Linked DNA regions of Sus scrofa. The protein of the gene in region 1 interacts with the protein of each later gene in a pairwise test. Links are inferred from orthologs where the notes say so. Each region holds a gene or a part of one and is shown on either strand. Other genes may lie near its edges.

Region 1 (4,231 bases):
TCTGCAAAATCCAGACTATAGGACATATAGGTCAAATGACCAAGTTCTTCATTAGATAAATTATAAGGAAAAGAAAGGAATAGGGAAACAATCTACAAGAGATTTTTTAAAAATTTTAGTGAGCAAGACTACATTATAGTGTCAAAGAATATGGATTTATGAAAAAACTAACACAAGGAGGCGACTAGTATAAAAGTCAGAAAAATAGCTACTAATGAGAGGACAAAAGCAGTTGTGATTGGGATAAGCAAATTCTTGGCATGGCTAGCTAGCATAGTTCTCCACCCTACCCTGGGTGGTATCAGATTTTAATAATTCATTAAGCTATACATTTGGTATATGTGTTCTTTTCTGTTTGATTTCATAATAAAAAGTCATTTTTTAATAAAAACATTTTGTTAAATAACAATAAAAGCAAAAGGAACAGTGCCTGGCACACAGCAAGACAGGTGGTGATCAGAGTTGGTGACCAGCTACTTGTACTATCTTAAATAGTTACTTAACCTCTTCAGTTTCCTTGATTGGGTTTAAAATATCTGATAGGATTATGAAGAGGTCAAAAGGAAATAAATACATAGTATTCCATAATTAGTAGATCCTTTCCACAGCCTCTCAACATCCAGAGGGAGTTATTTATTGCGTCAGACATACCTCAGTCATAGCACGTTCCTCTTACACTTTTCACCTGGTCATTCAAGTTGATCAGAATGAAATGATCACCCAGTGAGCCTCACGTCTGAAACTGCATCTTCATCTAGGTTTCAAAAAGATAAACAGGCCCACATCTTAAACATTCATCTCCTATTAAGAATGATTTGTGTTATCCTCAGAGCAGGTATTCTTGGTGTTAATGACTGACTACAGGGAGCTGCATCTACTGAATCAACTGCTAATGGACTCCAGTGCTCACCACCACGTGCCTTCACCCTTGCCTTCTCTCCCCTTGTCTTTCTTTGTTTTGTTGAAACATATACCTGAGAGCCCAACTCTATTATCATCTAGCATCAAATCTGATTCTGACTTCAAAGGTATTCAAACAATATTCTCATTGGCAAGGGTACTCTCAGACAACTGGTACTGAAACACAAAGACAAGGAGAACAACTATCAATTTCACCTGTGACAAAGCCCTTCTTTTCAGAGGTCTATGCTGTGAAATTAATGTTACAGATAGTTTGCAGCAGCATTTTCCCCACTACGGGCTATGCCAGGACACAGGTCTGTGAGTCACCAGAAGAGACCCAGTGCTTCCCAGGACCAAAGCAGATGGTGTGGCTTGCTTTAAGCAGTGTCATAAGATACCTAAAGTAAAACTGTGGGAAAAGGAGTTGCGGGGTAGGAGTTGGTTCATACACACCACAGAAAACCAAGCACAGAGAAGCCAAACATAGTTCTGTTTGCACTGTCTAGGTTTCCCAAGAGCCCTTTGGTAACTTACCCCTTATAGGTTTGGAGCCCCTGGCTCATGCCCCATACATTAAAATGTAGTTGCTTTTCACTACTTTTTTGGGGACAAGCTGGGAATAAAGCATGGCTGGTAGCTGTTCTTTTTTGAGTCACCTCAAAACCTGTAATTAGCTTTCTCAAAAGCACATATTTCACTTTACTGCAATAAATGGAATGTGCAATGCTTTCAAAGTCTCTATTGTCTGTTAAATGCAAAAGCGCCATCCCAAAAATATACCAATACACTGTTTAACGTTCCTAAGAAGCGAATCTAAGGAAACAGAATTAGGATCGGATCTTACCTCGATTAAATCATCCTGCCCCAGGAGAGGTTACATAAAAGGTTAGAATAGGCCACTAAGCAGAAGCTGCGGGCAAAACCCTAGCCAGCCAGCCACCTTTTTCCCAAGGTGAGGTGGGGAAGGCCCGGGTCTACTTGACAATACCAAAAGTAAAAACAAAACAAAACCTCATGCAGAAGAAGATTGAGGCCAAAAGAGGTAATGCCCGCACAGTCTTTACCATTATTATGTATAGAAAATAAAGTGGTACAGAAACCCTTCTACATTTCAACATTTCCATCTCACTGATTTTCTTAATAAAATCATATTAGATTCCACATAAAGAGACTCTCCAACTCTGCAAAGATTACTTAAACCAGAGAAGGGATTACTCACCTACCCCTTTGTGTATCCCCCACCTTCTGCTACGAGCCTTCACTCGCCAAGTTACCTTCCCAGGCACCTAGATTCTGAAACGTGGGGCGAGACCCCCCGGCCAGCGCATGGGGACGGAGTAACTACCAACAACTATCCAGAATCCAGGCTGCGCCAGGTATCCGTCCAAGCTTCACACTCACTACCTCAATTAACCTTCTCAACCACCTTGTAAGGAAAGATTTACCAGCTGTCGTCTACAACTGAAGAAACTGATGCGCTGAGATGTTAAATGAGGAGCCAAAGATCACAAGGGGCGAGGAGCCAGGACTAGGACCAGGTCGATCAGGTTCCCCCCACCCGCCCCCAAACTCCTTATCCAGGGATTTTTAACTGGCGCCAACCCGTCCCAGGCAGCTCCTCTCTGGGGACCCCAGTAAGGGTCAGTATGACCACTCGCATTGCGCAGACGAGACCATTTCCGGTGGAAGCTCAAGCAGGGGCTCCAGGCAAAGCCTCTGTGAACCCCGAAGGCCGCTTACCTTCCTCAGCTGCCGCCTCTCTACAGCAGCTCGCCCAGCCCGGCCGGCTCAGCCGCCTCCCGCCCCGCCTCTACGACCGTTACTCCACCGTGGGAGGCCAGCCAATCGAGCCCGAGCTCATCGACGAGCCCGATTCTGCTCCGGCTCTGAAAGCCCTAGCGACTTTCTCAGACCGCCCAGGAAGGCTGGGATTGCTCCGTGCCCTCTGGTTGGCTCTGCTGCTGGGGGCGGGGCTTACCATTAAAGTGAGCGATAGTTTGCTGTTGCGGCTTTGCCGTCTGTGCTCCACAGCTGCTGGACCCCTTCTCCTCGCAACTGCTGTTCGCTTACCTGGGTCCTCATTTGCCAGGAAAACTTCAGAAATCCACATTTGAGGCGGTCGGCGCGCGAGCGCGTGCGTACACACACACACACACACACACACACACACACACACACACACACGGAAATAAGTATGTCTTGAGGACATTTTACCTTCCCATTCAGCATTTGCCAAATTTCCGCCAAATGTCAGGCCATAAATCGCGTTCCAGAAATGCAAAAGTGGCTGACTGGGGATATTCAGAGGCTAGTTAGGGAGCTAGATATACACCCTGAAAAGAAGGTGCAATGTGATAAGACATGATCAGGAAAGGTATGCAGGGCACGGAAGGGAAAGAAAGATTATTTACATCCGTCGCTAAAGTCTTCACCCCAGCTGTATATTAGAATCACCTGAGGAGCTTCGAAAATGATGCTCAAGCCCAAAACAAATTAAATCAGAATCTGCAGGGCGGAACCCCAGCTTCAATAGGTGATTTCCAAGGCAGAAAACTACAAACCTAGAAATATGCATAAGAATGATTTGGAATTATTTCCCCAGTAATACAGATAGGAGAAGGTATTTGGAGAAACCTCATGTGCAAATTAATAACTCCAAACCACTTTATTACAATGCCTAGCTCACAAGTGCTCAGTAAATCTCACTTTTTTTTTTTTCTGTAATTAAACCTGAGCTCCTTGGTACAGGTCATATCTGCCCTCCCCAAAAGCCTAGCTCCCAAAACATTGGCAAATATAATGGGCTTCTTAAGGAAGCTAAGGAGTGTGTTGCATATTGGAGAATAAGAGGAAGGTCTTAGCAAATGTGCTGAAGAGCTGGGACTTTATCTTGGAGATGATGGGGAAACATAGATCAATTTTCAAATGGAATATAAAATGGAAAGGGTTTAATTTGGGTATCTTCAAACACAGCTTTCATGCATAATTTGTTTTATATATATGTAAAAACTATATATGTGTTATATAGTAAACCAGTAAAAACTATTTACAAAACTGGGTTTAAAAAAAAAAGTCTCCACAGTGCACAAATATGATCACTGATCTTTTTTCCCACAAAAAGAAATCAACTAAATCCTCTATTTATCACTTTAATAAATTCATCATCTACAAATAGGGCCCCTGCCCAAAATTTTCAAAAATTCATAGCTGGTTAAGTGACCCAAAAATTCTCAGGGGAAAATCCAGCTGCCACATACCTAAGGCGAAGGTCTGGCGGCCATTGTCATTGCATCTTATAGCCACACGGTGTCGCTGTTGACAACCCGTA
Region 2 (4,196 bases), on another chromosome or scaffold:
AAAAGGAAGGACATCCTGACACCTGAAATGACACGGAGGAACCCTGAGGACATGATGTCAGGTGAAAAAGCCAGCACAAAAGGACAAATACTGTGTGATTCCATGTATATGAGGGCCCTGGAGGAGCTCTAGCCAAAGCGGTAGACTGGATGGCGGGTACCAGGGACTGCGGGAGAGGGACCTAGGGGCCAGTGCTGAGCGGGGACAGAGTTTCAGTTGGAGGGAATGAGAAAGTTCTAGAGACGGGCAGTGGGGATGGCTGCTCAACCACAATGTGAACGTACTTAATGCCACTGAGCTGTACACTTAAGAATGGGTAACAAAGAAACAGTGGGTCCCACTGTGGCACGCGAGGACTGTCTGCTGGCTCTCCAGACCTGCCACCACCGGGGCCTCCCCAACAGGCAGCACCCTCAGCGTTCTCCCCACACCGAGCGCCTCGAACACAATTGTATTTGCCAGGCCATGTGTCCTTTTAAAGCAGGAAGATCAATCCTGCTAGGCGCCTGGGCACTGACCACTGCCCCATCAAGGGACCCTGATTTCTCCAGCCACACCCCCGCCACGACGTCACCGTCACACCTCAGCTCATGACCAACACGCACCCCACTCTCCATCAAGCCGTGGAAGAGCCCAGGCCACCCAGCTCCACGGGAAGAGCCTACCTAAAGCAGGTCCCACCCCTGGCACCCACAGCTGCTCTGCGCACAGCGGCTGCCTCTTCCGTGAAGCTTCCATGGGGACCCAAAGTAAGAAGCAACCACTGGAGCAGGACGTGGTTAGAGCAAGGTGCCAGGGGAGCCCAAACCAGGGCGTGGAGACCCGCAGAAGTGGGGGCCCCGCAGAGCCTCAGCGGAGGGGCTGGTAAAGTCGGATGAGCAGCTGTAACAGGTAACCGAGGAGCAGAGCTGGGGTCTAGCTCGAAAGGACCTTGCTTCCTCCAGCAGGAGAAGGAATCCCTGCCCTTGCAGGGCAGGTGCAGATTAAAGACAAGCAGGTGGGGCTGGCTCCCTAGACCAGTCACAAAGCAGATTTGAGTTTAGTTAATTGAACAGAGTGGAACAGCGCCCGCCGCCCCCAACATTCACATCCATCCAGAACCTCAGAATGTAATCGTATCTGGAAATGATCTTTTTTTTTTTGGCCTTGCCCATGGCATCTGGAAGTTCCTGGGCCAGGGATCAAAGCCACACTACAGCAGTGACCCAAGCTGCTTCAGTGACAACACTGGATCCTTAACCACTAGGCCAGCAGGGAACTCCAGGAAACAGGGTCTTTACAGAATTAACTAGCTAAGATGAGGGCACACTGGATTAAGGGGGGCCTTATATCCAACGACTGGTATCTTAGAAGAGGAGGACACACAAAGACAGACAGACAGGACGGCCATGTGACAACAGAGTCTGAGACCAAAGTGCTACAGCTACAAGCCAAGGACACCAAGGGCCTCCAGCTGCCCCCAGAAGCTGGGAGGGGGCACAGATCAGATCCTCCGGCAGAGCTTCCAAGGGGAGCCAACCCCCAGCACCCTGAGTTCAGACCTTCAACCTTCTGACTCGGGAGAGGATACATGTCTGTCATCTTAAGGCAGCCCTGAAATTCGAGGTGGTTTTTTACAGCAGCCCTAGGAGCTGAGATCAGTCAGCTGATGAGGCATCTGTGCTGGGGGAGGGGCACCCACGTGGGGGTGGGCACTGGCCCAGAGCCATCTCATGGGAAGCAGGGCAAGACCCTCTGTGGACAGGGGCTTCAGCCAGTCAGAGATCCCCACAGCTCCTACCCAGTCCCAGTGTTTCAGGCTGGGGGTCCCAGGGAACTTTCCAATGGCAATGGAAGCCTGAACGGAGCCTCTAAAAGTTGTTCCGTGTTCATTTTGCTTCCCAGATACCCTCTCTTCCATCCCAAAGTCAACACAGCCCAGGCAGACGGCTCGTTCCTTCCCAGGGTCTGCGGGACAAAGTGCCTCTGTGTCCTGCATTGACAATGACGCAGAGGGCGTGTGGAGCCCCAGACCACGCCTTCCCTGATGGCTCTCAGCTAAGGGGCACACTCCTGCAGGGGGGTGGTCCTCACCCCCCCCCAACCCCGGGACACTCTCAACGCCTTGTGTACAGTTACCTGTATGCCCACCCCCACGTACCATGAGAAGGGACTAGATCTGCCCCGCCCCTGCCTGGCACACCAAAGGCCCAGGTATGAATGAGGGAGTGAACCAGGACCGCCTTCCTAAAGGCCTTCACAGCCACAGTGGGAAGCTGGGAGATCAGGCATCTGCCTGGGGGGTGGCTAAAGGGATTTTCCCAGCCTGCCCCGGGGGGATGTTCTAGGCTTTCCCAAGTTCCATCCTCACAGCCACCCAAAGGTGTCTCCCCTGATGCCTCCCAGCCCTTGGGAGCCTAGGACAGAGTAAAGCAGCGTCTGCCAGGACAAGCCCCAAGAGGTCACCTCTTTCCATCACTTGGAGGGAACCGGGTTGCTGTGCCCAGGCTGTTCCTGGGGCTGGACCATGAGCTGGCGGGCCTGCTGCCCAACACTGACAGCCTCCTTACCGTACATCTTGCCCTCATCCGATAGGATGATCTTGCGCCGACCGCAGGGCGGGTAGATGGCCAGGGCCTCCTGGAAGCTCTGCTCGATGTCGGGGCTCCACACGCCCTCTGCGTCATTGTCAATGGGCTTGTCCAAAGCCTGGCTGCCCCCAGAGACGTTGCTCCCCTCGGGGGAGTTGGGAGAGCTCCACTCGTTGGAGGTAATGGTGCCGGCCTTGCCCTCCAAGGCTCCGCTTGGAGGAGCGCCCGTTGGACCTGGGTGGGCAGAAAGCACAGCATTGGTGGATGAACGTGTGGACAAGGGGGTGGGGGAACCCAGGGAGCACCACCCCTGAACCAGGTGCTTCTCCTTTCCTGGTGCTCATGGCCCAGGAGCTCAAGGGGAAAGCCAGGGAATCCCATGGGGCAAAGAGTGAGGTGGGCGGGGCAGGGCGGGGTGGGGAGGGGCTGGTCAAGGGCAGGTCATCTCCCCTCCACAGACCTCAGCTCCCCACCCCATCAAAGGAGCTCAGCAACCAGGCACTGTCTGATTGTGGCTCTAGGAACCCAGATGGGGCTGAGAAGTTAGATGAGGGCCAAGTACCATGGATGTTCTACATTAGACCAAAAAGGGCCAAGAGCATACAAAATACTGTGCTCTGTTGGTGGGAATGTAAAATGGTGTGACCGCTAGGAAAACAGCATGGAGGGCCAACCAAAAAATCAAAGAGAATGACCATAGCACCTAACAATTCCACTTCTGAGTATATACCCAAAAGAACTGGAAGTAGGGTCTCAAAGACACTCATGTTCAAAGCAACATTATTCACCACAGCCAAGGGACAGAAGAACCCAAGTGTCCATGGACAAATGAATGGCTAAATAAAATGTGGTCTCTACGTATAGTGGAGTGTTATTCAGCCTTAAAAATGAAAAAAAAATCTTTTTGTTTGTTTTTTAGGGCCACCCTGCAGCATATGGAAGTTCCCAGGCTAGGGACTGAATCAGAGCTACAGCTGCAGGCCTACACCACAGATACAGCAATGCCAGATCCTAGCCATGTCTGTGACCTATACTGTAGCTTGTGGCAACATCAGATCCTTAACCTGCTGAAAGAAGCCAGGGATCGAACCCACATCCTCATCGACACTAGTTGGACTCTTAACCCACTGAGCCACAACAGGAACTCCATGAATATGCTTTATTTTGTCTTTTGTCTGGCCTCACCCATGGCATATGGAGGTTCCCAGCCTAGGTCAAATCGGAGCTGTTGCTGCCAGCCTACGCCACAGCCACAGCCACGCCGGATCCTTAACCCACTGAGCGAGGCCAGGGATCGAACCTGCAACCTCATGGTTCCTAGTCGGATTCATTTCCACTGTGCCATGACGGGAACTCTGAATATGCTCTTAACATTACTGAACTGCACACTTAAAAATGGTTCGTGGTGCAGTGGTTAACGAATCCGACTAGGAACCATGAGGTTGCGGGTTCGGTCCCTGCCCTTGCTCAGTGGGTTAACGATCTGGCGTTGCTGTGAGCTGTGGTGTAGGTTGCAGACGCAGCTCGGATCCCTCGTTTATGTGGCCCTGGCATAGGCCAGTGGCTACAGCTCTGATTCGACCCCTAGCCTGGGAACCTCCATATGCCGCGAGAGCGGCCCAAAGA
Region 3 (4,123 bases), on another chromosome or scaffold:
GAAATTGGATTGTTATGATCATTATACAACTACAGATGTGATAAATTCATTTGAGCAATAAAAAAATAAATTTATATATATTTTTATTAAACAGTAATTGATTTACAATGTCATGCCAATTTCTGCTGTACAGCAAAGTGACCGCACACACACACATTTCTTTTCTTATATTATCTTCCATCATGGTCTATCCTAAGAGATTGGATATAGTTCCCTGGGGTATACAGTAGGACCTCATGGTTTCTCCATTCTACATGTAATAGTTTGCATCTACTAACCCCAAACTCCCAGTCCATCCCACTCCCTCCCTCCTCCCCCTTGGCAACCACAAGTCTGTTCTTTATGTCTGTGAGTCTGTTTCTGTTTTGTAGGTAGGTTCATCTGTGGGACCTTGAAAGTTTCTTAAAGAAATTAATTTAGTTTTAGATTTCCATACTTGAATCTCAACCTTTCCATCTGTAAACCTGGCAAGCACCTCAAAAAAAAAAAAAAAAAAATCTCCCTTTTCTTCCAACTAACTGATTTGTGTATAAAACCTGAGTTACACAGACTAATTCTTTCAATTACCCTCCCTGCAAAAATTCAGAGCTTTAAAAAAATCTTGCAGAACAGAAGAGTAGTGAGCAGGGTGTCCTGGGTTTACTAGTTCTGACATTAATTAGCTGAAGCCTCCCATTGTTTACCTTTCTGGATTTCTTTCCTCATCTGCAATTTGTTACTATCTGTTGAGCATCATGTCTGGGTTCTGTGCTGAGTGTTTTACATATTTTATATGATCCTATATTATTGTGATGTAGAGGCTTTGGGGCCAGACTCAAATCCTAGCTCAATCACTTACTAGTTGTATGACCCTGGTCCAGTTACTCAACCTCTGTGCCTCAATTTCTTTATCTACCTCATAGGATTGTTACAAGGATTAAATGACTTGATATGTGGAAAGTGCTTATAATGGTGCCTGGCACATAGAGCTCAGTAAGTGCAATTCCATAATAATAATTATTATCAAACAACAACCCACTACAGAAACTGAAATTCGGAAAGGTTCTTTTTGGTCCAGGTTCACACTAGTAGTACAGGGGAGGGCTGGGGGTTGAACCTAGGTGTGTCTGAGCTTGCACCCCTCATTTTTACTGCCTACTTACTGTTCAGTGAAGTTGAACTAAAAAATAACACCATCCATCTGGCAGGGTTACTGGGGAAATTTAGCAGTCCCAAAATACATTCAATAAATGGTAACTGCTGTCATTATCTGAAGTCCTTTCTAGACTCTGTTTAGAATGATTCAAATACTATTCTAGAAGAAACAACTATGTAGTGCTAGAACTGCAAGGGACATCTCCACCTTTATAAGTATCAACTGAAAACATTCAGTTTTCTAATTTTGCTATTGGGAGATGATCTCTATTTACAGAAAAGTCCCCCAAAAGTGGCAGGGTGGCAGGAAATGCAAACTAGAGAAAGCACCCTAGGCTCCCAGTCAACATCAAGTGCTGTGCAATCCCTGGAAGGGCTGTTGTCAGATACTTACATCCCAGATTGAGTCCTTGTGAATCTGTGCACAGGACTCCAACAATGGATGGATTCTTCATTCTAATTCCAGGGACACAGGAAGAAAGAAGCAAATGATGTAGGAAAAATGGATTTAAATATAACACACACAGGCTTTCTATGTACCCAGCACTGCTGTTAAGTGCTTTAAATCAGTGTTAGTCTTTTTTCTTTATCCCTCATCCCTACTCCAAGAAAAATTACATTAAATCATAATAAGCTAACTTTAATGATGGTTAAACTAATTTCTCTCTGATGAGAGAAAAGACTGCCAGGTACTGCTAAGCTTTGGAGGGCTACAAACGTTGCAATAGCTAGGATTTTGTTGCCCTCGTTAAAAATATGTATTTTAGCCTACTCTCTCACTTGAAAGAACTGCTGAAAAGCTAACTAAAACTGGTTGCCCCATGGAGAGGAAGTGGGAAGCTGAGCGGCCCTGATGCAAGGGAGGTGTCTCCCTGTACGCCGTCTTAAACTTTTCTAATTTTGGATTTTACGTAGACACTATCTGTTCGAAAAATTTAAAGGATGTCTTTCATCTTCTTGAGCACCAAATAACTGGTTACACCAGAAGGAGGTACGCGTGTGTGTTTACGTTTACACTGAAGATACAGGTGGTAGGTACCTCCTTCCCCCAAATGAACTCGGTTCCTAAAACTCCTAAAGAACGGCCCCGCCCAAACAATTTCTACACGACAGGCGGGATTTGGGCTCGGACCCGGGACACTTGTTCCGGAGGGAGTGTGCGGAGCACCGGCGGGATTTAATTCCGGGTTACCCTCCACTCCCATCGGCGGCCCGGGGAGAGAACGTCCCCAAGAAGCCCAGCGGGCAGTCACAGCTCGCGCCTTCTGTTGCGCTCAAGGACAGGCCCGCCGCGAACCCAGGACAGGCCGACGTGGCCACATTACTTACGTGTCCTCCAAGTGCTGCTCCAAGGTTGCTTCCATCCCGCCGCCGTCCGCCGGGCGCACCACCCACGGTGGGTCTTCTCCTAGGAAACTGGTCTCCGGCTCCGCTTGGTCAGTCACATGATGCGAGCAGGACGCGGACCTGGACGGCGCCTCCAAAGGGACAAACTTCGTGGCGCAGTCTCGGCGTTTTCTCCGGGATGATGTCATTACGCGCCCTCTGCCGCCGCGAGCTGGGCGGGGTTCTGCTGCCTGGGGTGCGACCCGCGAGGGGACCGCGCGGGATGTACCCCCGGGAGGGAGGTCTGTAGTCTTCCCTTGGAGCCAGCTTCCTGGCCTGTCCCTTTGTCTCCGCCGTACAGACCTTTGGATTTCGATTCCACCGACTCCGAGAAGTCGGGCCAGGTCTGGTTGAAGTTTTACAATAATCCGGCCGGCCCCGCGGGGTCCCATCCAGGTGGTAGGGCAGGGACAGACAAGAGAGACACAGGATTCCGATGAAGGGTTCCCCAGGCTTGGAGGGACAAAGAGAGGAAGGACAAGGGACTAGAGGATGAGGCGGAACAAAATTAAAACCCCAAGCTGGGTAGGGGGGCAAGTGTTGCGATTTTTCGAAGACGTTGGTTCTTCCTCTTTGGAGAGGATTCGGGAACGTTTGAGAAAGAAGGTGTCATTGTAATAAAGACTGGGTAGGACCACTTAAAAAGTAACCTTTAAAAAAAGTTAATTACAAAAGCAGTTATAGGGAGTTCTGGTCGTGGCTCAGTGGCTAACGAATCCGACTAGGAACCATGAGGTTGTATGTTCGATCCCTGGCTTGCTTAGTGGGTTAAAGATCCGGCGTTGCGGTGAGCTGTGGTGTAGGTCGCAGACCCGGCTCGATCCCACGTTGCTGTGGTGGCTCTGGCGTAGGCGGGCTACTACAGCTCCGATTCGACCCCTAGCCTGGGAACCTCCATATGCCGCAGGAGCGGCCCTAGAAAAGACATAAAGACAAAAATTAAAAAAAAAAGCAGTTGTAAAAATAAGGAAAGAAAGCCCACCCATTGTCTTTGTCCGGAGATGACTGATAAGGCCTTGGAGAATATTCTTTCCGCCGGTTGGTTGTCTTTGCAAATGTATACTTTGTGTTATTGTTTTTTCTTTTTTAAAGCTAAGTTGACACACATATTGTACAAACAATTCTGTAGCTTATCTTTTTCACAAAATTTAGCAAAAATGTCTTTCTGACATAAAGTTCATTTACGGCATTTGTAATACTTAGAAAATATTACATATTATAGCTTAACCAACCCCTTATTAATGTACAGTTAGGTTGCTTATAGTTTTGTTGTTGTCGTTGTTATGTTTGGGTTTTGGCTGTGACAAATGCTGGATGAATATTCTTATGGCCAAATATTTGTGCAGTTTAAATTTTTTCTTATAGTAAGTTACAAGAATGGAATTATTGGGTCAAGGTTTTAAAGTCTTTTAATATACACTTACAAGTTACCCCCCAGAAAGGTGGTTCCAGTTTACACTCAGATTGGTAGCATTTTGATGAGAATGGGAGTGTGCCCAGAGGCTCACCCATCCCCCCATAAGCCTCTACCCGCTCCCTGTAATCCTCCTGGCAGCACACCTCGACCTCCCTTTTCTCCAGCCCTCTCTCCTCCAGCTTTTAT
Region 4 (4,107 bases), on another chromosome or scaffold:
CTGGTTATAGAAGATGCAGCGTCGCACCAACCTTAGCTCTACAGGAACCACTCGGCCAAAGAGGAGCCTCCTCCAGAGCCCCGCTGCCCTCCCCGAGGCGACCTCCCCTAAGTCGCTGAGCTGCCAATGCGGTGTTGAATTCCACCATTGCAAATTCCGCAATTCCACCCACAAGCGTCTGCCTCTGGAATTCTGCTTCTAATTCAGGCCTTATCTATTGATTTAGCCTCAGGAGGACGAGGCGCTTCTCTCACCCACTTCTTCACCTTTCACCTCTCCCCTCCCCACAGAAACTCGTAAAAGCTGTCCAGGGTCAAGATGCCACAGGACAGTGGTACACCGCTGAGTCAGGTCAAATACGTCTCTGGTTATTTTTTATTTTCCCGGGAGTTAACGATTCCCTTATTTCGTAGTTATTGTTGCAGATGGCCAGGGCGGCCCAAGCAGCTCAGCTCACAGGATTTGCAGGATCAAGCAAGAGCCTGTGGGGAAGAACGGAGGCGTGGCAGGAACCCAGGTGATGGCGAAGATGGCAAGGCTGGAACTTTAGGGCAACGTGATAAAGATTAGCCGCGTTACTGCTTATGCTCTGGTGTTCCTGCCCCTACAAGGGGTGTGTTCTTCCCTGAGGTGAGCCGGGCATGAAACGAGCGTGTTCCAGAGTCATCATACCTGGAGAAGTCAGGAAAGGACCCGGACGCTGGGGCAAACCCACCAGGAGAGCAGGGCACGGAAAGAGTCCAATTCTGGAAGCAGGCCAGCTCTGCAGGCAGGCTGGTCCCGGAGGCAAGTCAGTTCTAGAAGCGGGCTGTGAAAGTAAGATGATTCGGGAAGCAGATTGTACTGGCGAGTTCTGCAGCAGGTTCTTGGGGTGGGTTTTGGACGTTCTGAAGGGTGGGCTCCAGAGGCGGGTTCCAGGGGCAGGTTCTGGAAGCAGGATCTAGAGGCATGGCAATGGAGCGCCGACCGCTGTTAGCACTGTGGCCAGGCCGAAGCCTGGGTCCCGACGCAGAGAGAAAAGCGGACATCGAGACCTGCACGGGCGCTTGTTCCAGCAAAACTGTTAACCACCCCTTGGCGAATCTTTACGAGCGGCGCCCCGAGGCCCCGCCGCTGGGCGGGTGAAACCCGCGTTGCCCAGGGCCCTGCGCCGCGCCTTGTTTTTCCCTTTTCCGCCGCCGGCGGTTGCCAGGGGCGACCGCATCCCCCTCCACCCCCCGCCTCCGGGCTCCTCGGGCGCAGGCGGGCGGGGTCTGGCCGCGAAGCCACCTCCCTCGGGCTCTGGTTGGCCGAAGCTTCCGTCTGTCAGAGTCGCTGCCGCCGCCGATTGGACAAGTTTCGCACGCCCGGCGGCTAGCGCCCCGCCTCTCCACCCGGCCTGGCGGCCACCGGGAGAAGAGTACAGTGCGGGATCCCGCGCGCCGGGGGTCCCTGCGCCGGGATCGGCTTCCAGGTGGGCGTGGCCCGAGCAGCGGGCGGCGATGGTCCCCGAGGAGAGGCCAGATGGCCAGGCCGCTGGCGAGGAGAGCACTCAGCTGCAGGCGGCTGGCAGCTCCCGCAAGGTGGGCGCGCCCGGGGGCAGGGGGCGCCGGGAGGAGGGGTCCCAGACCCAGCCGGCTCCTGTGGCTGTCTGCCACCGGCGGGGCTGTGGAGCCCACGCTGGCTTTTCCCGTCTGAGCGCACCGCTAGTGTCGGGGGCGGGGGCGGACCCACCCGGTCCCCGAGAATCTCACTCGCCCCTAGAGGCAAGGTGGTCTTACTGCTGGGGAACCCAGGGCTCCATGCGGAGCCAGAGCCGGGTTGGCTGGCTGGCTGCCTGTGCTCCTCTCTCTCCCTCCTGTTTGGGGACACACACCCCCACCTCCGCCCTGCGCTTACCAGAAACCGGTGGGAGCGCCAGCCCAGCTTGTGGTTTTCTCCAATGCTCCAGGAACCGCTTCTGTGGCAGCGATTGGGCTTGGGTCCGTTGCAGCCCGTGGCCCTCATGTTTGCTCCTCGTGCCTGGCACTCGTTTCCTAGCTTTGCTCTCTTCCCTAGGGCCATTCAACTTTGCCCCGGGGCACTCATCTCTTGATGAAAGGCCTAGAGACAGGCGGCTGAAGCTTCCTGGGTATAGGAAGTGGCTGGAGGACTTCCCATCTGGGTGTTTGTCTCTCCTCACCCGCACCTCTGCCTCCTTCTGAAGTCTGATCGCTGGGGGGGTTGGGGGGGTTGGAGACCTTTGGAGTCTGTGTTCGGGAAAGAGGAGGCACCCTGGCTGTCTCACTCTGCAGCCCGGAGCCCGGTTCTCCCCTGGGGGTCACCGTGAGGCTGCCCCAGTGCTTATTCCAGGCTTTGGGCATCCATATCCACGAGGGGTTTCAGTCCCATGCCACCTGCCTGGTGGGGGCATGCGGCCTGGCCCTGCCCACCGTCCTGCAGGTTTGTTCCTAGACCCGTGCTGGCATAGCTATCCCCACACTTTGCCAGCTCTGGCCACTGCCCATGGCATTTTTCTCCTGGGGATTCTGGGGGATCCACTAGACCCTCACCCGTCGGGGCCACAGCAGTGAGGGTGTGTTGGGGTCGCTGCCTTATCAGAGGTGGGGGTTCTGCCATAAGTGGGCGAGCTGGCAGATCCCTTTACCACTTGTGAGAGTGGCTCTCAGCCCGCCCAGGTTACACAACCAGCCTGCTGCCAGCAGGGAGAGTTAGGGTGGCAAGGCTTTGAGGGGTGCTGGCCGCAGAGCTCCCTGGAGACCCCGCGGTCTCCGGCCTCCAACACTTCTCTCCAGGAGTCCTTGACACAGGAGACCAAATGAACTGTGTCGAGTGCGGCCCTGCTCCCCAGGCGGATGGCCATGCTGTCCTCCACAGCCCTGAGAACCTGCTGGAGCTCTGCAGTGGGACCTTGGGAGGGAGAGGGGTGTGGCTTCGGCGGGGCCTGCCCCTGCCTCTGAGTCTCAGGCCTCCTGGCAGGGGGTGACTGCTCACACCCTGGGCTCATCCCTCCTGAGCCCGGAGTGGGCACAGGAGGCACCACAGAGAAGGGCCTGTGGGAAGACAGCCAGCCAGCAGGGCGGAGCGGGGAGGGGGAGGCTGTGTTGTCTTGTCCCTTCTTGGTGCCATCGGGACACCAGCCCTCGTCCACCTCCAGATGAGGGCCTGCCCGGGGCTCCAGAGGGGGAGTCCTCCTGGCTGATTGCTCTCTATCCCGTTGGTCAGTGGGGTGCAGGTTCTCTCCTCAACACCTAGGACCGCTTGGAAGCCTTCTGTCTTTCAAGTCCCAGAAGAATGCCTCCTCCTGTAGGAAGTCCTCCTTGACTGACCTCTCCGGAGAATGCTGGTGTCTGGAGATGTTGGGCTGTTGTCCAAGGTGGCCGTGCACCAGGAGCCTTGTTTAGAGTGCCCCCCGCGTGGGGCCGGGACAGGCTGGAGTCCCCACGGGGTCTGAAACGGCCGTGTGTGTGTGTGTGTGTGTGACCACAGGGCACGCTTCCTCTGAAAGATCGCTCTTCGTGAGCACCTTGGCTGTCACCCCCCCACCTAAACACGTGTGGCCTGGAGTAACTGCGAGGGCGAGATGGGTCGTGGGGGTCACGCCAGGAATTCGCAAGTGCTGGAGGACGTGTGCTGGGCGGGCGGTCGGCTGTCTCCTGGTGGGGGCTCCAGGCTGGGCTGCTGAGTCCCAGAGCCCCAGCAGATGTGCCCAACTTCTTCCTGGGGCCCCGTCCTTCCAGGCCCGGCCCCCATGACTGCGGCCTCTCTGCAGGGCTGTGATCAGCTGGCGCAGATGCAGCGGGACCCCCTGCAGAGCCGCAGGGCCCGGATCCACCAGCAGATCAACAAAGAGCTACGGATGCGGACAGGGGCCGAGAACCTGTACAGGTGCGTGCTGGCTGCCTGGGGTACCAGCTGCCACCCCTGCCCCACAGGAGAGCGGTGCCGCGTTCCCAGAGGCCCCTGCGAGCCAGGCCCACCCTGCGTAAAGGAGGCAGGGCAGTGACCCCGGTGGCTGCCTGTTCTCGGTCCACATGTGAGTCCGTGACTGTGGCTTCCCAGGAGGCAGGGCTGGCTCTCCCACTAGGGGCTGGGGCAGCCAGCTCCCACCTTGGGGGGCCTCACTGG
Region 5 (3,500 bases), on another chromosome or scaffold:
AAGGTTAAGTGAATTGCCTGAGGCAAGGCAAGTTGTGAGGGTTACAGTTGTGACTCCGACCCAGGCAGTCTGACTGCAGAGCCAGCTCTTGTACCTGACCATCGTGCTACACAGTGAGAGCCTGGGTTGGGGCACTGCAGAGGTGACTTATGCTGGTGCTCACTAAGCTCCTATTGCATATTGTTCTGACTCTTAAATGATCTCGTTTCTCCCCCCTTTCACCTCGCACACTATAGGTTTTATCTCAATAGATGTGTAGAATCTGTCACACATTCAGTTGTCCATTGGCAGGGAGTCTTGGAAAATGAAAGGATTTTAAAGAGACTTATTATAGAGGCTCGGCAGGTTAGGGATCTGGCGTTGTCACTGCTGTGGTTCAGGTTCGATCTCTGGTCCTGAGTGTCCTCATGCTGCAGACACAGCTCCCCTCCTCCCACCCAAAAAAGGGGGGGCGCTTATCCTGATAGAAGATATTCTCTAATTTCTAGGACTTGGTGAGACTTCACTTTTTTTTTTAACCTGCCAGCACTCATGTGTCTGGCAAATGTAAACTTAGGCCTGGATCGTTTAAAATTTTTACTTATTTAATGCATACAAATTTTGTATATAGCACTATGCTGACCCTTAAGGCTCTTACTGACAAATTTCTTCAAAAGAATCTGGATTTATTTAATAGCAAGAAGAGGGACAGACCAGATAGTTAATAAGAGAAGCTACAAGACACTGGAGAAATGGCAGGGGAAGGGAGGGATGGGGGCATATGTGGTAGTGCTTCAGCAAAAGCCACAAAAGCTGATGGATGCATCCGAATCACCTCTGTGTGCCGCTGCCACCCCCCTGCCCCTTATTTGGAAGCCCTGAATATTCTGATTTGATAGTTAGAAAGGAGGGGACCCTGGAAGGTTTTTTGTGTGTGTTTTGTTGTTGTTGTTTTAATTTATTCTTCCTCTTGCTTCTGATGTGTAGCTAGGTTTGGGCACCACTTTGCATTCTCATCACCTGCCTTCCACCTGTGGCTCTAAACAGGAGAAAGTAGTTAGTTACGTTAGACCAAATGAGTACCTGGTGGAACTGGGGCATCTAAGTGTGGGGTGGAGGCTGGAGCCTGTTGAACCTCACAACCCACACCTGTCTCTTTGCCTTGAAGGTACTAAGAGCAGGCCCAAGAAGATTCAGGGAAAATACATAGCTGTTTCTGCCAGCAGTTTCACATTCATTCTCGACCAAAATATAGGGAAAGTGTCTCTTGAGGCTTCCTTAAGGTACACTTCCTATAGTGGGACGCATGTGTTCAGCAGAGATGAGGCAGTGGCAAAGGCCTTGGGGTATGAGGTCACTGAGCTTCAGCTGCAGAACTCAGCCAGGCAAGACATCAGCCGTTTTGGTTAACCAGTTACCTTAAATTTGTGCAGTCAGCATCAGTCTGTTCTTGCTGATAGAGGAAGAAACTGAGGTGGAAAAGACATTGTTTTAACCTGAAATCATAGGTGACAGCAACTAAAATCCTGGCTCAGGAAAGCCTGCCTTTCAGCATTCTCTGAGAAGGCCCTGCAGTGATAGGATGGACCAGTCATGGATGCCCCTCCAGGAACAGGGAGTAGACAGCTTAGTTGTGGGGAACAGCCTCTTTCTCATCTTCCCTCACTAACCCCTTGCCTCTGGGCTGATCCCTGTTGGTGGTTTGGGTTTGAATACAGCCTCTTAGGTGTTCACAGCTGTACTGTTGCCATGGCAGCATGTTTGTCATCCCCACTATTTCCCTCTGGCCCCTCTCAGCTCAATTGTCAGTCCCTATTGTAGGGCAGGGTGTTTGCTATCAAGGCACAAGGCCGCTCATGGACTTGTCCCTCCATCTAAGAAACCATGCCCTTCGGCTCCTTGCTTTATTCCTCCTGATCTCCCAGCTGCTGCAGATGCCCACCTCCTCCTCTGATACTGGCTGGATCTTCGTTAGTCTTCTTTCCTGAGTTTGATCTTAACTTCCTACAGGGACGAATCTCCTTTCTCTAGGAGTGTGAGCTGTATAGCCCGGTCCTCTTCATCCATTCCCTCCACTCATCTCCATTGATATAGTTAGAAAGCTCCCAGCTCTTTCCCCAAGAATAATAGCCAGGAAGAGGAAATCACGTAATAAGGGCTGGGTACAGATTCAGCTGAAGAGTTCAGACCCACGAGAAGGAGGTGCTTTCATGACAACCAAGGTTAGATGATCCATTGAGCTGGGCCTGTCCTTTGGGCGTCTTTCAGGATAAGGGAATTCTTTTTAACCTCAAGAGTCACCACGAGGCTTCAGCATTGCTTTTAGGGGCCATCATGGGTCTACATCATGGACAGGAATGAAGGGGGAACAGAAAGGATTTAGTCGGGGAGGGAGTAAAAAGGCGTGTGTGGAGGAGCAGAAATGGAGCAGCTGCCTGGAGGAGGAGGGTGGCCAGTAAGACTGGGGCAGGAGCTGCTCCTCAGGACCACCTGGTATTTTTCCTGAGCACTTTGCTGTGGGGGATCATCTCCTAGGGATTCTGCCGTGGTCGTCCCTACTGGGGTTATTGCGATCCTGTTTGGAATCTCACACGTATGATTTGATGTTTGTGGAACTGTTCCTCCCTTTTAAACGTAACCTTTGTCTTCACAGCAGCCAGTGAGGAGGAGAAGGGGCGAGAGCTCATTCGATATTAACAACATCGTCATCCCAATGTCTGTGGCTGCAACGACCCGTGTAGAGAAGCTGCAGTACAAGGAGATCCTGACTCCCAGGTAGGGGTCCTGGATGATCAGCTCTTCCCCTGGTCTTCCTCTTAGTACCTCTTCCTCTCTTCTTGTCGCTGAGCTTGGGGCCCTCACCTTGGCTTCTGTCTTCTCCTTGAGAGAAGGTCCACCTGATTAGAGTGAAATTATTTCTGTAGATAATTCTCTCCCATTATATGAGCACCAGCCAGACCTCAGGCCACAAACTGGCTATGGTCATGTTTTGTTTGACATATACAAGTGTCTTTTAAAATACGGAATTTGTCGTCAGCATCAAAGCAAGGTTTCACATATGAGTCTTTATTTCCAGCTTTTGTTGTCAGATTCAAAGATTGGGCAGCCCTGTATGTGCATTCCCCTATGGGAGCATCAGCTGGACCCCTCAGCTTCCCAGCTCTCATCTCACCCTCGGCCTGCTGCCCCTGTTCGTGGGCATTTGAGTGTGGAGCCTCTTGTAGAGGCCTCCAGGGCTGAGAAGGCCCAGCATAGAGGGGTGTCACTTGCAGGCGGAGGGCTCTCACTCTTACACAAATGTATCCTGCCCCAAACTGCCTGCCACCTCACGGTTGTCCCTTTCTGGTTTTTGCAGCTGGCGGGAGGTCGATCTTCGGTCTCTGAAGGGGAGTCCTGATGAGGAGAACGAGGAGGTAAGGGTGTGGTCCTTCCCTCTGGGAGGAGCACACACTGCAGATGCCTCAGGACCTGTGGCATCAAGTGCAAGCTCACTGTATTCCTGCTGTGACCAGGAAGAGCCT
Region 6 (4,195 bases), on another chromosome or scaffold:
TGCAGTGGGCAAGCAGGTTCCCCATTTAACAGCGGAAATCAGAGCTGCATCCACCGGTGCGCAGCCTTTGAGAGAACGGCTTTCAAAAGAACAGCAAACACCGCTGCCTTCTCAGGAAGAGAAGGCAAAAGAAGAAAGCAAAGATGCATACCCCAAGGAGAAGCCTGGGTTCAGAGTGACCCCCCTCCCACAATGTGGGGGGCCCTGGAGAGCCTCTGTTTCCTCCTTGCTGGGAAGAGGGCATCATCGCATTTATTTCATGAACAGCATTTAGTGGGACGGTGTGACCTGCACGTACCAGACACCCAGCCAATACCCAGGAGCCTGTTTTTAGAAGCCCCCCTGACCTAGGGACCCCTCACCCACCCTCATGCCTTCGGAAGCCTTTGGCACTTCTTTACAGAAAAACAGAGGGTCTGCGCTCCTGTTCCCCCACCTTAGATGCTCGGTTTGGGACTTGGGACATATTTGAAGCATCAGAATCACATGCCTTGGTTGTACAGTGCCTGCCATCAAGTGGGAGCTTAATAAGTTGCTGTTCATTAATGTACAAGTATAAATTACATAAACAAATAGTATTATGCATAAACTGTATACAAAATGTAGTTTATATAAAAACTCAGTATCTACCAAACACGTTCCATATAACACATAAAATATACTGATAGGAGTTCCTGCTGTGGTGCAGTGGGTTAAGGATCCAGCATTGCTGCAGCTGTGGTGTGGATTCAAACTCTGGCCTGGGGAACTTCCTTTTGCCATGGGTGCCGCGGAAAAAAGATAAAAAAATATTATATGTTTACACGTAAATTTTCAACACCATTTAACATTTACTTTAAAATAATAAACATATAAAATGTATTACGGAATGTATAAAAATAACATAATACCTAGTCTTATTTCCAAATATTAAGATAAGCATTACGAAAAAGTAAATATTAAACTGTAAAAAATGTAAAATGCAAAACTACTATACATTCACGTGAATAGTATATACTGAATGCAATTACACGTGTAACGGTGTTATACAACTCAATACCTATAATAAGTAAATAAGTGCGTACCTAGCTTATAATTAAATTATATTGGCATATGATGTGGGATGCATAATTGTATTAACAATTGAGGCCCAAACACCCGGCCTCGGCCCTAAGCCGGACCGCTTCGCCTTCCGACCCCAGGGAGACCTTCGCGGGACCAGAACTCAGGCAGCGAGGTGGGGGCAGGGCGGGCTTGCGCACGCGCAGTGCAAAGCCCGGGGTCGGCGAGGCCCGCTCACCGCGGCCCCGGAAGTCCCGCCTCTGTGGGCGGGGACAGGGCCGGGAGGAGAAACCCGAAGCCGCCGCGCGGCCGCATCCGCGGGCTCGGGCGCCGGAAGCGGAAATGCGTCACAGGGGCGGGCGGCGGCGGCAGCGGGTCGCGTCGGGGGCGCCTCCGGCGGACGGGGAAGGCGCCGCGCGGGGAGGCCGTGCCTGCCGGGGTCCTCGGGGACCCGCGGAGAGCTGGGGCCAGGGCGGCGGCGGCCTGGGACGCAGGCGGAGCCCCGCGCCGGTGAGCGCCGCCCGCAGCCGCCCCCTCCCGCGAGCCGGGCCGGGCGGGGGCGAGGGTCTCGGGGGCGGGGCCGGAGGCCGGTGTCTCGAGGGCCGGAGTCCGCTGGGGGTCTCGGGGAGGGCGCCCGGGGCCAGGGGACCCGGGGGTCGGGGGTGGGGAGCCTCATGACGGCGACCCGGGGGCCGGAGTACCGAGGGCCGGAGTCTGCGGGCGACCCGGGGCTGGATTATTGAGGGCCCGGGTCTGAGGAGCCGGGGACGGGCTGCCGGGGGGACGGGGGACCGAGGGCCAAGGTCTGCGGGAGGCTCGCGGGCGAGGACACCGAGGCTGGGAGAGGAGCCAGAGGCGGCGGGGGGCGATGGGCGTTCTCGGGAAACCACGGGTACTCAGGGACTGGGGGCCGCGTCAGAGGGGGGGCGACGTGCGGACGCTGGGGGCACCGAGGTTAATGGGGCTGTCGGGGGTGGGTGCCGTGGTGACAGGAGGCAGCGGGGGAGAGGGTCGCGGGGGCTGGGGGTGGAGGTAATGAGAACCGTACAGGGGGGCAGCGAGGGGCTGGGGGTCATGCTCAGGGCCCAGGGGCAGCCAGTGAGCAGCGTTCCCAGGAGGCAGCGGGGGTTGCCCCCTGTCCGGCCCTCCCTGTAGCCCTTGGGGTCTTGTGAGGCAGGGGACGCTCGTCTCAGGTTCCAGCCCTTCGCAGTGCCCCGGCCGGCCCCAGGTGGCTCTTCCTCCAGCTGCTCTTCCCCTCCCCTCCCCTCCCAGGGGGCCTCTGAGAGCTAACTGGTGGGCGGGCGGATGCCAGGTGACCACCTGTGCTGTTTGGTTCCCGTGGGTCAGGCTCGCCACTGGTGCCTGGCTTTCTGGAAGGAGCCACTGGTCAGACCAGTTGGGCAGAGCCTGGGGAGGAAGGTGTGAGGGGGGGAGGGTGCAGGCGACTCCCACCCCCGGCCGGGCACAGCGAGGGCGCGTCTGCCCACAGTGGGGAGACTGAAGTCGATGGCTGTCGGCTGTTTTTCTCTAGTCTGAAACTTCCTTCCTGTTTCTTCTTCAGTGGAAACACAAGGCCACCCCCCGCCGCACAGCCTCCCAGATGCCTGTTCTGGGCCGTCCCTTCCCCAGCGGTGGAAGTGGTGGGTGGAGTTGGCCTGCCCCCCATACACCGAGGGCGGGGACCCCGCTGCGCAGCCCTTTGATTGAAAGCACCAACATCTCAGGGCCTGCGGCCTCACCGGCCAGCCTGGGGACCCTCGTCCCGGTGCCCAGCTCTGACCGCGCGCGCATGTGTGTGTGTGTGTGTGTTTCAGGCCCAAGGTCCCGGCTATGGCCGCGGCCACCATCGTCCACGACACGTCTGAGGCGGTGGAGCTGTGCCCAACCTACGGCCTGTACCTGAAGCCCATCACCAAGATGACCATCAGCGTGGCGCTGCCGCAGCTGAAGCAGCCGGGCAAGTCCATCTCCAACTGGGAGGTGATGGAGCGGCTGAAGGGCATGGTGCACAACCACCAGTTCTCCACGCTGCGCATCTCCAAGAGCACCATGGACTTCATCCGCTTCGAGGGCGAGGTGGAGAACAAGAGCCTGGTCAAGGCCTTCCTGGCCTGCCTGGACGGCAAGACCATCAAGCTCAGCGGCTTCTCCGACATCCTCAAGGTGCGCGCGGCCGAGTTCAAGATCGACTTCCCCACCCGCCACGACTGGGACTCCTTCTTCCGAGACGCCAAGGACATGAACGAGACGCTGCCCGGGGAGCGGCCCGACACCATCCACCTGGAGGGGCTGCCCTGCAAGTGGTTCGCGCTGAAGGAGTCGGGCTCCGAGAAGCCCAGCGAGGAGGTGCTGGTCAGGGTGTTCGAGCGCTTCGGGGAGATCCGCAACGTGGACATCCCCATGCTGGACCCCTACCGCGAGGAGATGACGGGCCGCAACTTCCACACCTTCAGCTTCGGGGGCCACCTGAACTTCGAGGCCTACGTGCAGTACCGCGAGTACGTGGGCTTCATCCAGGCCATGAGCGCCCTGCGCGGCATGAAGCTCATGTACAAGGGCGAGGACGGCAAGGCCGTGGCCTGCAACATCAAGGTGAGCCGCCCGGGCCCGCGCGGCGGGGGGCGGGGGGGCGGTGTTGGAGCCCTGCGGCCGCCCGGGCCGTGGAGCCTCGGGCACCGACATTGAAAAGCGGCCCCCGGCTTTCTTTTATAAAACCCGTGCCTCGGAGTTCCCGTTGTGGCTCAGCGGGTTAAGGACCTGACTAGCACCGGGGGGCTTTGGGTTCGATCCCTGGCCACGCTCCGTGGGTTAAGGATCCGACATTGCCACGAGCTGCGGTGTGGGTCGCAGGTTCAGCTCAGATCCGGTGTCGCTGTGGTGTAGACCTGCAGTTGCGGCTCTGATGCCTCCCCTCGCTGGGAACTTCCACGTGCCGATGGTGTGGCCTGAAAAGAAAAGAAAACGATTCTGTGTTTCGAGAGAGTTGGGGAGCTGATTGTTCCACGGGGGCGAGGGGGTGACCGCTGCGCATGCTCGGAAAGGAGCCCCGGCCGGGCCGGCTGCACGGCCTGCCTCCCTCCCAGACGTCCCTTGAAACGAGACCCTGGCTTCTCTGACCATCAGCCAAGTGGGGACTGACTCGTGCTGGCTTTGC
Region 7 (3,500 bases), on another chromosome or scaffold:
TCACCAGCCACTAGCTGCCAGGAGCACCCCTCCCCAGCTGTGACCATCCAAAGTGTCTCCAGACATTGCCAAATGTCCCCAAGGAGGCAAAATCACCCCTGGAGAGAATTCTGCCTTAGCAGGGAGGGACAAGAAAAACCTGCGGATTAGAAAAACTTGCAGCTCCAAGGGTCAGGGAACCATTTGAAAAGATTCAAAGCTTTCAACAACAGAGCACCAGGGACTCTTGGGGGTGGGGGGGGACGGGGTTGAGGTTCAGGTCAGAGGGCACCCGTCCTCACCTACTGAGAGCAGGTTCCGGAAGTTCTCCAGCATTACGTCCCGGTACAGCTTCCTCTGGGTGGAGTCCAGCAGCCCCAGCTCCTCCTCGGTGAAGGTCACGGCCACGTCCTTGAAGGTCACTGCCTCCTACAACACCACACACAGTAACCTAAATCTGACAACCTCCACTGGAAGAAGGGCAGCATCGAGAAGGATAAAAATTACCCCAAAATCGGTTATCAATTTGGAGAGACTCCCAGGAGTTTTCAGTCCCAACCATTGTCCCTCTCAGTGACAGTGACGTTGCCTCCCTGCCTCCCCACTGCGTCACTGTTTATTGTTTGCTAAGTTTACAGGCTTTCAGCATTGCTACAGGACAGGCACATAGCTCCTCCTCTGCACTTTTAAGGCAGAGCCTTGTCCACCCACTGCCGCATGCGCGTGGAGACGGTGAAGGCACAGGCCGAGTTCAAATTTCAAGGTTTTAATTACAGGCCCTTGGCCAGATTCCTTCACCTCTCATTATCTCAATCTCCTCTTCTGTATAATGGTGTCACAAAAGAGCGCAAAAGGATTAGATGAGTGAATGTCTGTAAACCACTCACAAGGGCTCCTGGCTCATGACAAGTGCTCGGGAATGGGAACAAGTAGTGTCATCAGAATCTCTTTCACTCCAACTGTGACTACCCTAGTACAGTATTCCCTAGGATTGATGTTTAGTGTTAATCAATCCAAATAAAGCACAATTAGCTACAGATTTTCGCTTATAATCAAAGCTGCAAAGATCCTTTTACAGAGAGCTTAGCCAAGTTACAGCAATTGCAAAGTCATAAAGCATGCACTGTAAAATTTCTGAAAGGCAGATTGCCCTCTCAAAAGGTTTTTCCAGTTCACCTTTCATGTGAGAGGGTACAGATGTTCTTGAATCTCTAGACTGGCCAAATAGGACACAATTCCTAATCTCTGGAGTTCTCTGGTGTCACAGCAGGTTAAGGATCTGGCATCATCACTGCTGTGGCTATGGTTTGATCCCTGGCCCAGAAACTTCTGCATGCCACAGGCACAGACAAAAAAAAAGAAACAAACAAACAAAAAAACTTCAGGGTGGGAGAGACAGATTGGGGGTTTGGGACTGGCATATTCACACTGAGGTATATGGAATGTTTGGCCAACAGGGACCTGTTGTATAGCACAGAGAACTCTACCCAAAATTCTGTGATAACCTATGTGAGAAAAGAATCTGAAATAGAATGGGTATGTGTATATATACCACTGAATCACTTTGTTTTACAGTAGAAATTATCACAATGTTGTAAATCAACTATACTTCAATAAAACTTAAAAAGGCAAACAAAAAATTCTTCAACAATCTAAGCAGAATAAACAGAAAGCTTTTATTCATATTTGCACACATTTAGTTTTAGGGTTTTTTAAAGTTTTTTTTTGGCTGTGCCCACGGCATGTGGAAGTTCCTGGACACACAGTAGTGACTTGAGCCACAGCAGTGACAATCCCAGAACCTTAACCTACTGTGCCACCAGGCAACTCTCCACATTTAGTTATTGATGATCATTATTGACTTCGTAAACTTACTTCCCTTTTTTTGTGACATTCCTATTCATTTTTTTTTTGGCCATGCCTGAGCATTTTTTTTCCCCCAGGCCAGGGATAGAACCTGTGTCACTGCAGGAACCCAAGCCATAGCAGCAACAATGCTGGATCTTAACCTGCTGAGCTACCAGGAGTATCCTTTTTTTTTTTTTTGTCTTTTTAGGGCTGCACCCTCAGCAGGTAGAAGTTCCCAGGCTAGGGGTCGAATCAGAGCAACGTCAGCATGGCCACAGCAACACCAGATCCGAGCTGCATCTTTGATCTACACCACACCTTATGGCAACACTGGATCCTTAACCCACTGAGCAAGAACAGGGATCGAACCTGCATCCTCTTGAATACTAGTCGGGTTTGTTACTGCTGTGCCACCATGGGAACTCCTCTACAATTTTTTTAAAGATTGCTTTGTGAAATCACAAAGATGGTAAAACACTCACACACCAAGTCTGGTACACAACATGCACCCAAGATGTGTTGTGTTCCATTAACCTTTCCAACGAAGAGAAAAAAGATGTGCCTATTTGAGAAATAAAATCCCAACTTAGGGAACTTCCTCTTGTGGCTCAGCAGGTTATGAACCCGAACAGTATCCATGCGGATGTGGGTTTGCTCCCAGGCCTTGCTCAGTGGGTTAAGGATCTGCCATTACTTGGCTGTGACATAGGCTGGTAGCTACAGTTCTGATGTGGCCCCGGCCCGGGAACTTCCATATGCCGTAAGCACCCCTTCCCCCGCTTCCCCGCATAAAGCAATTAAGAGACAGAGAGTTATGCCTTACTTACCTGAAATTTGGTCATTTTCTCCCATTCCTTCTGGAGAAGGTCAGAGTCCTGAGAAGGCATAACTGGGGAGGGACAAGGAAGCCATGAGCTGCAGGCCAGGGCTGCCATGAGCCCATGTGGGTCTCTGCAGCCACATACAGCATGGAAAGCAGAGCTTGGCCTAGACTACAGCTGTCGACAGATACGTCAGCTTGGACAGTAAACAACCTGCACAACCAAACTCAGTATCCTTACAATAAAGGTTAAAGGGGGAGATGGGCTGGTCCTGGTTGAGGAAGAACTGAGAGAGGGAAAAGAGAATGGGGGGTGGGGAATGGGACAATCGTTGAGCTACAGAGGAAAAGTATGTAATGAAAGGGGATTTTAAGAGAATTGGTTGTATGAGATGAATGATACCCTGTGGTACTTTGCAAGAGAATTCAAGCCAAGTTTAAATTTCTTAGAATTAAAAAAAAAAAAAAGGAACTGAGAGGCAATGTAATGACATGTGGGTTTAAAAAAAAATGTGGGGTGTTCCCGCCGTGGCTCAGTGGTTAACGAATCCGACTAGGAACCATGAGGTTTCGGGTTCGATCCCTGGCCTCACTCAGTGGGTTAAGAATCCAGTGTTGCCGCGAGATGTGGTGTAGGTGGCAGATGAGGCTCAGATCTGGCATTGCTGTGGCTCTGGTGTAGGCTGGCGGCTATAGCTCCGATTCGACCCCTAGCCTGGGAAGCTCCATATGCCATGGGAGCGGGCCTAGAAAAGACAAGACAAAAAAAAAAAAAAAAAAAAAAAAAATGGGCTCTGGAGTCAAGTACCAAATCCTAGAAATGAAATTACCCATCCCTGTAACATCGAGGGTA

Evidence for each region.
Region 2: the proteins of CEP70 (region 1) and TEAD4 interact in a two-hybrid assay, tested with the Homo sapiens proteins (2 studies listed by BioGRID). The two-hybrid records come from large-scale screens. The link is inferred for Sus scrofa from reciprocal best matches to the Homo sapiens genes CEP70 and TEAD4.
Region 3: the proteins of CEP70 (region 1) and LAMTOR5 interact in binary tests that used the Homo sapiens proteins (3 or more experiments, as listed by UniProt). The two-hybrid records come from large-scale screens. The link is inferred for Sus scrofa from reciprocal best matches to the Homo sapiens genes CEP70 and LAMTOR5.
Region 4: the proteins of CEP70 (region 1) and RHPN1 interact in binary tests that used the Homo sapiens proteins (3 or more experiments, as listed by UniProt). The two-hybrid records come from large-scale screens. The link is inferred for Sus scrofa from reciprocal best matches to the Homo sapiens genes CEP70 and RHPN1.
Region 5: the proteins of CEP70 (region 1) and KANSL1 interact in binary tests that used the Homo sapiens proteins (3 or more experiments, as listed by UniProt). The two-hybrid records come from large-scale screens. The link is inferred for Sus scrofa from reciprocal best matches to the Homo sapiens genes CEP70 and KANSL1.
Region 6: the proteins of CEP70 (region 1) and AKAP17A interact in binary tests that used the Homo sapiens proteins (3 or more experiments, as listed by UniProt). The two-hybrid records come from large-scale screens. The link is inferred for Sus scrofa from reciprocal best matches to the Homo sapiens genes CEP70 and AKAP17A.
Region 7: the proteins of CEP70 (region 1) and zinc finger protein 227 interact in binary tests that used the Homo sapiens proteins (3 or more experiments, as listed by UniProt). The two-hybrid records come from large-scale screens. The link is inferred for Sus scrofa from reciprocal best matches to the Homo sapiens genes CEP70 and ZNF227.

The regions. Positions count from the first base shown.
Region 1 is NC_010455.5:79,384,141-79,388,371, forward strand, and holds the start of CEP70 (centrosomal protein of 70 kDa), read right to left. Parts: upstream 2,801-4,231; 5' UTR 2,644-2,800; intron 755-2,643; 5' UTR 661-754; coding exon 652-660; intron 1-651.
Region 2 is NC_010447.5:67,164,780-67,168,975, forward strand, and holds the start of TEAD4 (transcriptional enhancer factor TEF-3), read right to left. Parts: upstream 2,801-4,196; 5' UTR 2,776-2,800; coding exon 2,550-2,775; intron 1-2,549. UniProt on the Homo sapiens protein: Transcription factor which plays a key role in the Hippo signaling pathway, a pathway involved in organ size control and tumor suppression by restricting proliferation and promoting apoptosis.
Region 3 is NC_010446.5:109,721,341-109,725,463, reverse strand, and holds the start of LAMTOR5 (ragulator complex protein LAMTOR5), read right to left. Parts: upstream 2,801-4,123; 5' UTR 2,670-2,800; coding exon 2,464-2,669; intron 1,591-2,463; coding exon 1,529-1,590; intron 1-1,528. UniProt on the Homo sapiens protein: As part of the Ragulator complex it is involved in amino acid sensing and activation of mTORC1, a signaling complex promoting cell growth in response to growth factors, energy levels, and amino acids.
Region 4 is NC_010446.5:1,130,231-1,134,337, reverse strand, and holds the start of RHPN1 (rhophilin-1), read left to right. Parts: upstream 1-1,307; 5' UTR 1,308-1,481; coding exon 1,482-1,562; intron 1,563-3,751; coding exon 3,752-3,867; intron 3,868-4,107. UniProt on the Homo sapiens protein: Has no enzymatic activity. May serve as a target for Rho, and interact with some cytoskeletal component upon Rho binding or relay a Rho signal to other molecules.
Region 5 is NC_010454.4:17,090,112-17,093,611, forward strand, and holds part of KANSL1 (KAT8 regulatory NSL complex subunit 1), read left to right. Parts: intron 1-2,632; coding exon 2,633-2,754; intron 2,755-3,334; coding exon 3,335-3,392; intron 3,393-3,500. UniProt on the Homo sapiens protein: Non-catalytic component of the NSL histone acetyltransferase complex, a multiprotein complex that mediates histone H4 acetylation at 'Lys-5'- and 'Lys-8' (H4K5ac and H4K8ac) at transcription start sites and promotes transcription initiation.
Region 6 is NW_018084901.1:894,902-899,096, forward strand, and holds the start of AKAP17A (A-kinase anchor protein 17A), read left to right. Parts: upstream 1-1,395; 5' UTR 1,396-1,551; intron 1,552-2,855; 5' UTR 2,856-2,871; coding exon 2,872-3,633; intron 3,634-4,195. UniProt on the Homo sapiens protein: Splice factor regulating alternative splice site selection for certain mRNA precursors. Mediates regulation of pre-mRNA splicing in a PKA-dependent manner.
Region 7 is NC_010448.4:50,822,356-50,825,855, reverse strand, and holds part of zinc finger protein 227, read right to left. Parts: intron 2,717-3,500; 5' UTR 2,715-2,716; coding exon 2,655-2,714; intron 450-2,654; exon of another isoform or gene 409-449; coding exon 282-408; intron 1-281. UniProt on the Homo sapiens protein: May be involved in transcriptional regulation.